Lytechinus pictus: one gene and its partner. The protein of the gene in region 1 binds, or shares a complex with, the protein of each later gene. Links are inferred from orthologs where the notes say so. Each region holds a gene or a part of one and is shown on either strand. Other genes may lie near its edges.

What was found.
Region 2: vacuolar protein sorting-associated protein 54-like (region 1) and vacuolar protein sorting-associated protein 52 homolog share a complex: the UniProt entries of both Caenorhabditis elegans proteins name them as parts of the golgi-associated retrograde protein (GARP) complex. The link is inferred for Lytechinus pictus from reciprocal best matches to the Caenorhabditis elegans genes vps-54 and vps-52.

What each region holds. Positions count from the first base shown.
Region 1 is NC_087251.1:34,989,510-34,997,493, reverse strand, and holds the start of vacuolar protein sorting-associated protein 54-like, read left to right. Parts: upstream 1-4,890; 5' UTR 4,891-5,076; coding exon 5,077-5,707; intron 5,708-6,632; coding exon 6,633-6,910; intron 6,911-7,646; coding exon 7,647-7,737; intron 7,738-7,984. Other genes in the region: cytochrome P450 3A24-like, read right to left, coding at 927-979, 1,248-1,341, 2,071-2,144. UniProt on the Caenorhabditis elegans protein: Acts as a component of the GARP complex that is involved in retrograde transport from early and late endosomes to the trans-Golgi network (TGN). The GARP complex facilitates tethering as well as SNARE complex assembly at the Golgi.
Region 2 is NC_087259.1:15,676,167-15,683,546, forward strand, and holds the start of vacuolar protein sorting-associated protein 52 homolog, read right to left. Parts: upstream 3,094-7,380; 5' UTR 3,028-3,093; coding exon of another isoform or gene 3,025-3,027; 5' UTR 2,874-3,024; coding exon 2,775-2,873; intron 1-2,774. Other genes in the region: small ribosomal subunit protein uS13, read left to right, coding at 3,025-3,027. UniProt on the Caenorhabditis elegans protein: Acts as a component of the GARP complex that is involved in retrograde transport from early and late endosomes to the trans-Golgi network (TGN). The GARP complex facilitates tethering as well as SNARE complex assembly at the Golgi.

The DNA of each region.
Region 1 (7,984 bases):
CAGCTCAGAGGATTCCCACGAACAAAGAAAGGATACTCCTCTGCGCTGACGCCCATGATATAAATAGTTTTATTTTTTTAATTAATTGTACCCGTTTTGGGAGTGAAGACCCCCCCCCCCCCATTTAATGCAAACGAGAATTGAATTGTTGACAAAGTGAACCTCCTTCTAAATACAGCTTTCCTCATATACCCCTTCTTATTTCACTCTTATTTCCAGAACATTATGCTTTATCCTTCCTTATTTCGAACAGCTAAAATCTATCTGCATCAGTCTTTAATTTATCATGCCTACAATATTTGATATGTTCAGTGCCGGACCCAGGTGGGGTGGAAACTATCCTGTGCCCCCCCCCCCCCCTTGTAAGCCTTGAAAAGTTTTTTTTCGTGGAAACAGCCGTGCAAGTCAAGACCCTTTTTTCAGATTTTCAAAAATTTTCTCCCCTTTCCACTTTTAGAATCCCTGGATACTTTATTGCATTTTGCATAATCATTATTATTAACTCTTTGCGCGCTGATGTTGCAATTTTGCACATTCGTACAAATAAATTGAACAATGGTAATAATTAGTTTTCTCATTGACATACATATTAGAAAAGCTTATAAATTACAATAGTTCTTGGATAACATCTATATAATAATCATAAGTATCAGTGATACAATGCAGAAGTCTTCATTCAAATAAAATAGCATTGAAACAGTTGTCATTATTAACCCCCAAAATCAATTCAGCATGTGAAGAGTTAAGTTCAGACTGAAATACTGCTAAAAGGAGCGAAATACAAACACATAAAGAAACAGACAAAAAAAAACAGTAAGACATCTTTACTTTTTTTCAATTTGCATTTTGACTACATACTTTTTTCATCTTGAACTATGACCTATAGTGTGTGCATACACTCAACATCTATAGACTGATATACACACCCAAATACTGTGCCGAATTTCTCTTGACATTTCAAAAAGAATCCAGGAACACTCTAAACAAAATCGAAAGAAAAAAACAACGAGATAAATATCATTTCTGGCGCATTATGTTCATTATTTATAAAAATAACTATTTGTCACATAAATGAGGTGAAAGGTTAAAAATGTCAAAAAATAAATAAAAGAGAATGTAAAAAAACATCTGTCATTGGTGTCTGTTATATGAACAACCACAAAATCCCAAATATATAGTAATCATTTTTTTACAATGTGCATAATGACGTGTGTGCTATATATTTTTTTCTAAATATGTCTATATACCTGCATGATTTGAAGAGCGTTGCCGAACAAAGGATTTGCAGAAGGACTTTTGATCCCACGTCGTTTGAAGTAGGTCAGTCTCCATATCTCACGTCTGAAGGAAAACAAATGTACACATTGAATTAGATGATGAAGAATCATATCCTAGCAAGAGGAGACAGAATATGTAAGCCCTAAATGACTTTTCATACGAAAGAAATCGTAGATATACTGTATTATGTCTGAGTGAGTTGATTCAATTGATTAACTGACGCAACAACGCAGTCTTTGACACATTATCATTTTAATGATCATTTTGATATATAGGCTAGCTACCCTAATTATATGATTTCAATAAATGTTATTGTGGTCGTAATCGTTATGTCTATGAGGCAACAACGATGATTATAACTTTAAAATTTACTTGTTAATATCATAGAAGAACAGACCTATTGACAACATTGCAAGTTGAAAATTATGTTCCAAGGACAAGCTACAGTGCTGCCTTTCAGTCCAACAGATCTCGCAGTGGGCATGCAAGTAGTGAAATTGCCCTCTTTCAATTTTACCCTTGCGTCTTCTCCGGTTGAAGTATCTCCTACTATACCCCCACCCTAGCTCCCTACTCATTTTTAGCACCCTAAAGTGGTACAATTGACAAGTGCCCCCCCCCCCACCCTACATACATTACTGCTGCATGCATCCTGCTGGATCATTCGTTTCTAGGTACAGCATGGTATTCACAAAGAAGAAAATAATGAATTTATCTGGTTAATAACCTTCTATACGTAAGCCTACTGGTCCATACATGATTCTACCAATAATATTACAAACTCATACTTACCCAATAAGGATAGCGATCAGGCTACCAACTAAGGGCCACGAAACCGTGTATCCCCTAACAGAGAAAAGGGTCATCGTCACATACGTGATACTGAATTAAGAGAGAGAGAGAGAAATCAGAATGCAATTCAGGTAGCTTCACCGACTTGAGATATTGGGCATCCAAATCAAAATTCAACCTGAACTAGAGCACAGTGTTGAGTTTAGATGCATGATAGGTCTGACTATATGCGTGTCTCTAGCCTCTCAATCTCACCGCTACGCACAACGCTTTCAAGAAAATAGAAAATAATATGGGCCTATATTGTCAAATGCCCTCCGGGTACTTAGCAACTGTCTAAAGATGCTGGAGAATCAAAACAGCAGTTTTGTTCTGGACTCTGGACAAACGACATATATAGTGCAATATTCGTCAGCTCCGGAACTTAGGACGAATCTGCTGTTCCGCTTCACTAATTTTCGACAAATACCTCCCAGCTGTTAATTGTCATTTGACCGGCATTTTCAGTACACTTACCGCTTACTATGTTCTCGAATTCGTTCGGCGTGGCTGTGCGAAAACTTGCTTTAATCAGATTATGGAGTATGAAAGTTCAACAAGCGTGAATGAGTATGAACAATTTCATATTTGGTAAAATGGACTTTGAACATCGAAAGGTAGTTGAGCCGAACAAAAAAATGAGTGGTTTAAAATTAATGAGTATATGACAGTTATGAATTTAGATTGTGGCTTGTGTTTCTAGTTCTAGCAGTTTAAATTTGCATTGCGAATTCTTCCGCCGTCCTTCACAGGCATTTCGTTTGCTGTAACAGGCAATTCACTTAACTTGTATTTCTTCTCTCAGCCCTTTCCTGGCCCTTCTTGCATATTTGTATTGTACTTTTGTTAGAGGCGTGTTACAGTTTTTGCTATTAGGGAATTACGACATCTTCTGTTATTAAAAAATCTCTTATGTATTTTTATTCTATGACAAATTATTTTGTATAACTTATATTGAAAAAAATATATATTTCATGAAAATGGAAGAGAATAAATTTCTACTTGAATGAAAATGAGTGAAAAGAATATTTCGATTTTGCGATTATTTCTTAAGATGTTTTCCGTATAATCACACCTCCGAAATTTTAATAGGCCTACATGGATGGAAATTTATGCATTACTCCTCTTATGCCCGGCTGTTATGACCGTGTTTCATAATCATTCTAGCATAATATGATAGAGAACTATATCTCTATATCAATATAAGTTTGATATTCCTTATGACATTTTTTTTTTAATTTCGAGATAAACATTTTTTTTATCTGCGTTTATTTTCTCTAACGGTGTAACCATTCAATAAAAGTTAAGTCATAAGAGCAATTTGATGTAGAGGTTTTTTTTCCTCCATCCAATTTTCCTCTGAATAGAGTTTCACACTTGTGCACGTCAAAGAACATTGAGTATGTATCCATCCATGTTTTGTTTTTTTAATATATATCTGTAATTTTTTTTATATATATCTTTCTAAAATTCTCAGACAGATATAGGCCTAAGAATACGTTATTCAGTGTTACCCCCCCCCCCCCGTTTATTCGATTAAACTATTATATTTCAAAACAAACAGTATTTGTCAGGCTTCTGTGAGGTATATCAAGTTTTCGAAACTATCAAACATTATATTTATTTGTTCAAAATATTTTTTAAAAAAGAGACGCACTCTGTTGAAAAAAAAATGAAATTGAATAACATGTACATTAAGCAATTAAATTAACCCAGATTATATACGTGAATTATTGTGTTTTATGTATATGCAACTAACCGTTTTGGTTAGCTTGCCTCTTCCACGAACAATTTATCACGCGGGTTATTTACTCTGTCAATATGGAATGTGCTATTTGACGAAGACATCAATTAATTCTAAGAAACCTGTAGAACCTACTACAGGTTGAGGAGCGCACTCACATTCAACTAAAACAACAACAAACAAACAACAACGTCCTTTGTTCTTTCCTTATTCAATTTATTTTATTATGTTGTCTCTTCATAATCTGTAAATCGGAAACGAAACTAGTTGAATGAAGCTTAAATGATAAATAAATAGATTGATGATATTGCTTAATTAATTAAATGTGTGTGTGTATTTGAGTTTTTGAGTAATTAATTAAATAATCAATAGATGAATAAATGACTGAAATTCTAGATAATGAATAATTAAATACATTAGTAGATAAATAGATCACAAAGAACATTTATTTTTCTATTTTGGGGGCAATTTTTATATAAGATATGAATGGTACAGATTTTTTAACAGACCAAACTATTATTATTAAATACAAATGCCAGGTTTTTGTGGAAAAAAAATTGCATCATATATGGATGAAGAATGCTCAAATTTTTATCTGAAACCCCAGATCGGCTGTCAATAGAAACTTAAAAAAGTGGTTGACTGCATGGGAACAGTTTGCCATGAAAAAACAAAATACTAAAATTAAGACTGTCCGTCAATGAGGCACTAGCATAGGCTTAAAGATCGTACCTTAAAGATCATTATGTGTGAGATGTATACGTTATTAGTATATATCTCTATGGTGTGATATATGATTTTTGCTTTGAAGGTAGAGTACAATCAAATTGATAATTCACATTTTACTGATTGGCAATAAAATCGACAATTTCAAACAAAATAAAGCGTATACAATTTTTGTTTAATCAATTTATAGTATTTTATTATATATATTTATTTACATAACATTTAATTCTAAAATTTATAATTAATAAAAAATAAATACATGAAATAGTATAACTCACATCAAACATGTTTTGCCAATTTGATATATCGTTACGATCTATTTGTGTATAAATTGTCATAGACAGCTGTTACGTGGACAGGTACGACGTTTTCTATGCCAGAGATACGCCTGTGAAAAATGATTTTAGTTTGCAGGAAACAATATTCCACCTTGTTTCATGGATCAGAATAGTTAGCCATCATTTTTTCATATAGTATCTGGAGTATTCTACACGAAAATGAGCTCCGGACGTCGCTCAATTCCTTCGTCCAGATCACATCCGTCATTCACTTCCACTGGCTACTCGCTGGGCCTGGGGTCTCACTCGTCCAGCAGCGATGGGGAGGCACCGGGGAGGCGAAAGGAGGCTACCGGCGCGAGAAACAGACGACAAGCGGGCCTGTCAACAACAGAGCAGAATTTACGGTCAAGCGTGAGAAATACTTCAAATAGTGAAATTGAGCAAGTGTGTGAAAGAATCAATGACAAATTATCAGTTAATGATGTAATGAGTAGATCATCTAGCGACCATTCCATATCAAATCTTCATGAAATCAAAGCGTCATATTCTGCACAGCAGCAGCAGACGCATGAACGTTTAAGGCAAGGAAATGAAAGAACTACAATGATGGCAAGAACAAGTAAAAATCCAAAGATTATACCTTGGCGGAAATGTGCATTATGCAGTATTGCATTTAGAACTCAAACAGATTTTCTCAAACATTTACGGGATAAACATTGTACCAAGGAGGGTGGTTCATTTGTTTGCCGTTATGGACTTCATGGTGTTTGCCCAACATTGCCTGTGGATGGAGTGAGTGATGTAGACTATGAATATCATGTTGCAAGGGACCATATGATGGATGAAGGTAAATCACATCACTTTGTAGGGAATAATTTTGCAAAACAACAATTTTTGCAAAATTAAGTCATAAAACTCTCTCAGCTACCTCTATGATCTGAAGTCCTTTTTTACTACAAATCTGACCAGGCATTTTTTGTGTAGCAGTCTTTAAAAAGAGAGGAGCAAATGGTGATGCAAAACCAGGAAAATTATTCCTTGTTCTTACTACTGATTTAGAGTGTAGTAGAGTATTCTGCAATGTGGCTTTACCCTTTTAAACTATGTACTGCATATTGTGTACATGCATTTGCCTTATTTATAAAGCCACTAGCGATTCATGCCAGCAGACTATTATTCATTGAGTCAGTCATGAGTGGTTTTCAAAGATCAAATCCTTGTGTAAGAAAAGTGAGGAATACTTATTTCAACCTGTAAAAAAAATTAGCAGGGATGCATGTGGTTGGGAAATTGGGATTTTCATCAATTGAATTATTTGAAACATTATTTACCTTTACTTGAGATTCTGGAAGAATGCTGATGATCCCAGCAGTCGTGCTTCCAGTTCAAGTCCTTCATCCTTCTCGTTAGTTAGGTATCTTCATAGCAGTCTTGCTTGGAAATCTACACCATCCTCGACATTAGTATGGTTTATACATCATAGGGTGAGCAGTACCACTGGTCTGCCCACACCTTGTCTAGCCTTATTTTTAACAATATAAATACAATAACATTTATGTATTATTTCACATTAAGATTATATTACTATTAATTGATTTTGCTTGATAGAACTTTTACAAATCTTGTAAAAGATGAAAGCATTAATTTCTACATTATTTATTTTTACTATTTACCGCCATTGCTAAAATATATCATTGTACATGTATGTTATTTACAAATTTACACTAACAATCAATAACTTTTCTCATTGTATTTTTAATAACACCTTCCAGCTTTAGCAAACAGGTTAAAATCTGCAGCTCATAGCGACGCCCCTTCTATGACAGTAGCTCCCTCAGTGGTCAGTGTTCAGCAAAAATGGACACCCCTGTCATCTGTGGTCAACTTACCTGCTGTCTTAAATGACCCTAGAAAGGTCAAAAGGGAAACAGATTTCTTCACGAAGACGTGGGGTGAAGGCTTCGTGGATCAGAGTGAAATTCCCTCCTCTCCGTATGTCCCTCGCATTTCAAGAATCCACTTTGAGAAATATCTCAGGCAGGTGGCATATGTAAGTATGCACTTATTTATATTTCTTACCAAAATATACAAAAATAAGTATAAGAGTAAGAATGATGTATATCTGCAAGAAAGCTGTTGGGTTCTTCAAGCTTAAAAATGATGGAGGTCGTCTAAACAGTTTTGAAAAAAAAAATTAAAAGAAATATGCATCAAATTCCTTGCATTTTATAGTATTGTTTGAAATTACTCGATATGAATATAATTTTTGATACACCATTCGTATAGATCTGTGTGTACAAGCCTGCTCAAATCTTTTATTGTATTTTAACAGGGTTTGATGTAAAGAAAATTATCTTTGTGCAAAGTGCCCTACCCAAAGCATCTCTTCATGTCACAGAGATTCTTCCGCTGAGAAACACCGTAATACAACAAACTTGAGACCGTGTAGCACAAAGCACAATGTCTTGAGGATAGAGGTCACTTTTGATATTTTAAGAGCTCTCTCATTGAATTAGGCAATGATACAATGATGCAGATTCTTTGATATTGGGTGGGAGAAAAAGTTGAGATTTACAGGCACATCTAGGGCCAACTACAATATATTCAAACTCAAGTGAGGTGGGGAGACTTTGTGAAGTACATGTGTTAACTCAAAGTGGGGATCTGCCACCAATAATATGATAGTTGGAATATCTGTTCTTGTCTAGATGTTAACTCTACTTTTTTTTTAATTATGGAACTGATATGCTTTGATCTCTTTGTATTGCTCTCTCTGTCTCTTGTAGAAACTACAGCAACATAGAAGACCATCCGCAGTCAGTACATCATCACAAAGCGATGATGATCAGAGCTCAAGTCTTGCCAGTGGAAATCGAGGTTAGAAAAAAAAAACATTTCCTCGAATTTTTGTTCCTTTATCATTGCATATCTCTGTATATTTGAGTATCTGAAAAACATTTTTGTTATAACATTCAGAAACAATAATATATTTCTAATTATTTCGAACAAAGTTCTCAACTCTGTTTTTTGTTTACAATATGCTCCACATATTAAGATTTGAATTTAGATGAAACTCAATATGTAATTCACTTTTTTTTTTTATATCTACCAATGCCACAGACAT
Region 2 (7,380 bases), on another chromosome or scaffold:
AAGGCTGGATTCCCCTTTAACAAGTATTTTCCATGTTCTGAAAATGCACCCCTTAACAAGTATTGGCATGTGAAACCCTACCCTTAACAAGTACTGGAAACAAAATGGTACCCTTGGTATTTCCTGAATTGACCCCCTAAACAAGTACAACGATATCTTAATTGTTATGTCATGGACGTCAGCTTTACGTTTACTAACTTCATTGGGTTTAGTACCACTCCACACAAGATGACGGCGTAAACATCGGGCAAGTCTCTTCCGTCTATTCATGATATTTTTCTCATTTTTTTTATGAATTCTTCTTCAAAAATAACGAGAGCGTAGAAATGTCGGAAATTAAGTTTTATCCCATGTACATGATTTACTAGGTCTAGATCTTTTAGAAGGAAAGTAGAAATCTCGGGGGTGAAAGTTTCAGGTTTTGGCTTCCTTTGTGTGGGTCTATGAGTAGGGTGTCTGGAGAAAAAAACTATTTTTCTTATTCCAAGAAAATATCACATTTTCTTTGTGAATTTGAAGAGAAATAATCTTCAGACTGACAGAAATATAACATTTTTTTCAAAAATCCAATTATTGGCTGCAAAAAAGAAGAATGAAATTAGGTCAATTTTCAGCATTTCCCTGCCACAGACTGTGTAGTTAAGAAATGGACACACACAAATCCAAATTTTTAGCTTCCGAGAGCTGTTTTAAATAGATTTATTATTAATGCCAAAAACTTGTCCATTAAGTGTCAAATAGGAATTTTTATGCTCTTTCTGATGGTATGATTTTTATAAAGATTTGGAAACCAGATCACAATGAAAAATTGCGACAAAGTGAAAAAATTTGTGCAAAACAGAAATTTCATTTTCCCATAGAAAACGCATGGGGAAATGGCAATCTCAACACACACACAAATAAGGGTTTGCAATTTATCTCTAAATCTTCATTTCAAATAATCCTATAAACTTGTCCTTACTGTCAAAAGAAGCCCCTGAATTTTCTCTTTCCATACATGCCAAACACAAGTTAATAATTAATTCAGATCACATTTTTATAAAATTATAGCCAGTAGAGGTGCACGGCCAATATTGGAGACTGTCTCCAATGTGGGAGATTATCTCCAATATCAGAGACTTTTGTAAAGAATTTGGGTATCCAATTTCAGAGACAGTCTCCAGTTTTGGAGACCAATTTCCTTTGTTTACATTTGCTGCAAAAGGATTACCTTGGCGGCAAATAAAAATGTGATAAGCAGATTCCTCATGAAAAATTACCCCTTTTCACCGTCTACTTTAAAAATTCACCGTCTACTTTTGTTTTGATAAGGATTTTTGTTGTCAATCACACACAAAACAAATGGGCTTCTGACCTAGTCTTGAGGACTCCATGATGATGTCTTTTAAAACAAATTTGACATATACTTCTCCATCATGGAGTCTTGAATCCCTTCCCATACATGCATAAGAGAATCTTGTAAACACAGATGGATTTCCCCATCTTTTTTATTAAAAATCGATAAAATTAGCAGGATTTTATTATTCCCTACACCTTCCTACGCCTAATGCATAAGAAGGTTTAAAAAAATATTGAATAAAAATACGTAAAAATAAAGGTTTCTTACCAGACCGATGTCGTGTAGATCCTTCGCTCCACATGTACACAGCGCAAATACAATGGCGACGACCCTTGAACCGCTTATGTATGACGTACATGTACGTAGGTAAACACAGAGAGAAATAGTGCGCATGCGTAGCTTATTGTGCTAGTACAAGATTAGGAGCGCTAAACTCGTCATTAACATAAGAATGTTTGACCTCTGCACGACGTCGGCCGGGAATCTTGTACTAGCACAATAAGCTACGCATGCGCACTATTTCTCTCTGTGTTTACCTACGTACATGTACGTCATACATAAGCGGTTCAAGGGTCGTCGCCATTGTATTTGCGCTGTGTACATGTGGAGCGAAGGATCTACACGACATCGGTCTGGTAAGAAACCTTTATTTTTACGTATTTTTATTCAATATTTTTTTAAACCTTCTCATGCATTAGGCGTAGGAAGGTGTAGAGAATAATAAAATCCTGCTAATTTTATCGATTTTTAATAAAAAAGATGGATTTCCTGGGGAAATCCATCTGTGTTTACAAGATTCTCTTATGCATGTATGGGAAGGGATTCAAGACTCCATGATGGAGAAGTATATGTCAAATTTGTTTTAAAAGACATCATCATGGAGTCCTCAAGACTACTTCTGACCACAGTGAGACAAAATTTTGGGTGGAAAAAATAATGCTTTTGACTTTTGTTGGTGTTGTTTCTTTTGTCCTTTTGAAAAGCAAGTCTCCAATGTGGGAGATTGTCTCCCCTATTGGAGAGAGTCTCCCATATTGGCCGTGCGCCTCTATCCAGACTACTGATAGCAGCCTGAATTTCCAGAAAAAATTGGCCATATTTCCCCCTAAATCAGCCTGTTTTATGCTGACACTTTTCAGTGTGGCTTCAGTCCAGACACCCTACTATGAGATAGAAGCCCTGGCTTCGTATGAGAGTAACCTTACGTTAGTAAATGATTTTTACTCTCTAGAAGCCGCCTGGCTATAATGTAGACACAACTGTATTTTTCCAGTAGATGCGGTATAAAAACATGACATGAATATGGACAGGTGGGAACGTGTAGTCCTATGCTTCCCAAAGTCCTTCACCACACAAATAATGAGCTAAATTAACAGAGCATCATTCAAAGATAAGTTTTACACTTTATTCAATGAGTAAAAAAAAATTAATAGACCTCTGGATTGCCTGGAACATGTTCATCCCAAAATGGATTTTCAGGCTCGTCAACATCATCAAAAGGATTGGTAGACTTTCTGGCACTGGTGGCTGCCATCTTGCATCCTTCTCACTCGACGGACACTAAAGAGACGGCATTGGCCATTGGTCGAATCATTGAGTTTCTCGTAGATTTGTCCAATCAGGGATCTTTGAACTGGAAGCAATAAAACTCGGCATCTCCCTTTTTGCTCCGCACCCGAATCAAGATGGTAACGAAACGACCCTACATCTAAATTATATCATGTTAAATCTCAGCTTTATTAACCCATCCTCTCATTGAATTGTCTTTGTTGATTCCGTTTTTACTACTGCATTAATTGTATTGTGTGTGCGTTTATTTGTATTTACGATAAAATACATTTTTCACTTTTAAATGCGAGGTAGCGCCGAGATTTGTTGCAAAGTTACTTCTCATACATAGCGATAAACTTGTATCCTTCTGTCCAAATTATGTTGTATCCGTTTTTAACGAACGAAGTTCAACGAATTAAGAGATTGTTAGCCAAATTTTGCCTTCTACCAGGTGGAAGATATATTATAGGCCTACAAGTCATTAGGAACAACCTAATTTCTAACCAAGTCCAAGCTCCCAGGGCCAGGGAGTTCCGGCCCACTTTGCGTGCCGGAGCCCAGGGGAGCGTTTCATCAGTAGGCTAGAGGCGCTGGTCAGAAAATTGGGATCGTCCCAGTTTACAGGGACTGTCTCAGTTTATAAGGATTTCTTCACACAAGAAATCTAGGAAAGTTCATTCACCTGTCAAGTGCCGACATCAATCAAGTGTGCTAGTCAATGTAAACATATCAGGTTTCAAAACAAGATTATTGGAAGAAGGTAGTAGGCCTAGGCCTAAGTCATGAAAAATAGAAGGTGAACTGGGGGGAATTGAGGTCACTGAATCTATTTTTAGCACTCTCAATTCCCGTAATTGCTGTCTTTGTCCCGTAGGGGGAAGTGAAAAAAAAACGTCCCCATAAACAAGGACAGTCTCAATTTATCAAGACAATAGACATGATTTGTCTTGGTTTATGAGGATATCCTTGTTTTCTGGGTCAATCCCAATTTTTGGACCAGCGCCTCTACTGTTCATCAATATTTTCATCCTACAAGTTGTCAGATCTGACATCTTTCCATGATTTTGATTGGCAGAGAGGCACTGTCCCTATGGTAACTGTCGGATAAAATGGGACTTGTCGGATTAAGCGTCCGACAAGTCCTTTCATGAAACGGCCCCCAGGACTCGGGAGTCGACAGTGTAAAACGAGGGAGACAATGTCAATGGGTGATTTCAAGTATGGTGAGACTACCACATATCGACCACCTCTTTTGAAACCGACCACCTTGCGCGCGTTAAAATTATTGCGTATTACAAACGATACGCGCGGGAGAGTAGGCGCAGTGTCCATAGAAACGGTAAGAATCGATTTTACGAGAAAAAAAGAAGCAACAAGAAGTAAAAATTTAGTAGAATTAATCAAAATTGTATTGACCAAACCCAAAACCCGCTGAAAAACCAAGAAATCCGATAGGAAACGGCTCTAGAACAAATATCCGTCGTCAATCGTCGAATCATGTGCCGGAGCTCGCAGTGGAAGTAGTGAGACGATCATTTAGCATGTTGACATAGAACTGATTTGGAAGAGTAAAAATATTTCGCCACCGCGACAAGAATCGGTCGTAAACTTAATGTACCGCGGGTGGTCGGTTTCAAAAGACTGGTGCAAATGAGCAAATGTAAAATCGTCGTATTCGTTGTTCGTCGATATATACGCGGATTGAATCGGAGTCGCCGAGCGAAACATGGGAATCTGATCTGCTCAATTTTCTGCACTAATGAGACGAAAACTGGGTAAAATTGATGAATATTTTCGCAGATATGATGCTTAGAAGATTAGGTGGTCGATAAGGGGTAGTTCCAACCATACGGTGTTGAAATCTGGTGTTGGTGTCGTGACAACACCAGCCACAACACCGTCCGTACTTGAAATCAGGCTGGTGTTGGGATTGACCTCGGAAAATATGACGTATTTCCGGCAGTTCGTGTTGAGTGCTGCCTGCTGGTGTTGAATGTCGTCTGCTGAACCCGGCACTGCGGCTGGTGTTGACGATCTACGACGTGCAATTTCCCCATTCACCAACACCAACCCCCAGGGATTGGGAAAATCATGATTTCAAGTTCGGTGTTGGTTTTGGTGTTGGCAATCTCTAGCTCGTGAACAGGCGGCGAACACGATGAAACATCCCCGTAAAATTAGCTTTTACAGTTAGGGCCTAATAACTAAATAAGATGAGTACAAATCATTTGAGCTGTTTATATTTTGATGAAGAATAATGTTTACTCTTTCGAATTCTTGAATCAATTAAAACATTGGTATTCTGTACGATGAGAATTTAATGCATTTCTCTCCGATTTCATTTTCGTCGTCGAGACTTCTCGCTTGAAGTTGAGATGATTGCGCAGGGGCGTGACATGTGCTATCGAAAACGCAATCGGTATCATTCCTCTGAACCCAGCTCGGTTCAGCGGCTCAACACGAACGCCGAACTTGAAATCACCCAATGGGGTAGATTGGGGTCTCAATAGTAATCTTAATAAAATGTGGAAACAGAAATTATGCACTAAATCACGATTTATATCGACATGGATGAAGGTCTATCGTGACACAAATCCTGACATCGAGGCACAGACTGGAACCTCAAAAAAACGAAAAGTTCTGTCGCGATAGACCAAACTTAAAGCTTCGGTCTCTGTATGTTGGTTGTTCCGCTGAACTCCGTTGGCTCCACTCGCCAAATACAGAGACAGAAGTTCTAGCTCGATCTGTACAGGGACTCAATGGCCATATGTTTATGTATTAAAATCGGATAAAACAGAGAAGTGAAGTTGTGGGACATTCGAAGTAATTAGTAAGTCACTGTTTTGTCCCCTTTTAAGTTTATATTTTCCCGTTTTGGTGCATTTCAGGCCAAAACGGAATAATAAACTTCATTTTGGTACATTTCTTTTGGAATATTTTTATGAAATAAAGACAAAAATTGACGAGCCCCGTCAGGGGGATTTTGCATTGTTAACCCCCTGGCCTAATGATGGCTGCACGATAGCGAGCCGTCTGTGTACGAGGAAAAATAAAAAATGTTAAAAAACTCCTCGAAACTGACGGTTGCCATCTGTCTATGTCGCGATATCTCTCCTTTCAAAATTCAAAACAAAATAGCCGATCAAGAGTAGAGGCGCACGGCCAATATGGGAGATTGTCTCCCATATTGGAGACTTACTTTGCAAAAGAAACAACACCAACAAAAGTGTAATTTTTCCACTCAAAATTTTGTCTCACTGGGTCAGAAGCCCATTTGTTTTGTGTGTGGATGACAACAAAAATCCTTATCAAAACAAAAGTAGACAGGTGAATTTTTAAAGTAGACGGTGAAAAGGGGTAATTTTTCATGAGGAATCTGCTTATCACATTTTCATTTGCCGCCTAGCTAATCCTTTTGCAGCAAATGTAAACAAAGGAAATTGGTTTCCCAAACTGGAGACTGTCTCTGAAATTGGATACCCAAATTCTTTACATAAGTCTGATATTGGAGATAATCTCTCTCATGGGAGACAGTCTCCCATATTAGCCGTGTGCCTCTACTGACCGACGCTATATTTTGATTTTTGAGGTTCCAGTCTGTGCCTCGATGTCAGGATTGTGTAACGATACACCTTCATCCATATAATCGTGGCAAGTGCATAATTCCTGTTTCCACATTTTATTAAGATTACTATTGAGACCCCAATCTACCCCAGTCCCATGTCTCCCTCGTTATGGTCGACTCCTGGGCTCCGGCCCGCGAAGCGCGCCGGAGCTCCCTGGGTTACCTAATTTCATGAGTAGGCCTACACAATAATACATGGAGGCAAACTTGTGCTATAGTCGAGATCTATTCTACCTCTGTAACAAATATTTTAGAACTAAACTTAAGGTCTCACAATGATGAGAGAGAGACAGGTGGTGTATGTTGGGGGGGGGGGGCACTCAGTATGTATGGTGGGTGTGTGCTGCGGAAGGGACCCCCATTTTTACACTCAAATTTTAATTCCAACCAAGCCAGGCATAGCAATTTTATCTTATTTATTGAGAAAAAGAACAAAGAAAGCCGCTCCAAAGCATAGCATTTTCTTGTCGAGAAAAAAAAGAAATCCATTCCAAAGCTTCGCATATATTTTGTAACGCCGTTCCGGCGGCATTGATCTGCTACAATGAGCTGCAATTTTGGTGAAAAGTGGCCGCAGAGCGATGTCCGACCATCACATCTGCGCGAGCGCACCCGGCGCCTTAAGTTTACCCCGTGTAATACTAGGCGGACATATGCTCTCCAAAATGGGGTTGAATGGGGTCGCAATAGCACTCCAAATAAAAGGGGAAAAATAAATTATGCCAAGGCTCCACATTAACTTTTTTTGGTGGTGGCCCCAAAAAAATTATTTGAAGGTTTTGGTGGCCCGATATTAAAGTTTGGTGGCCCGAAAAAGATAAAGAAAAACATTAATTAAAAATGAATAAAACAAACTTCTGAA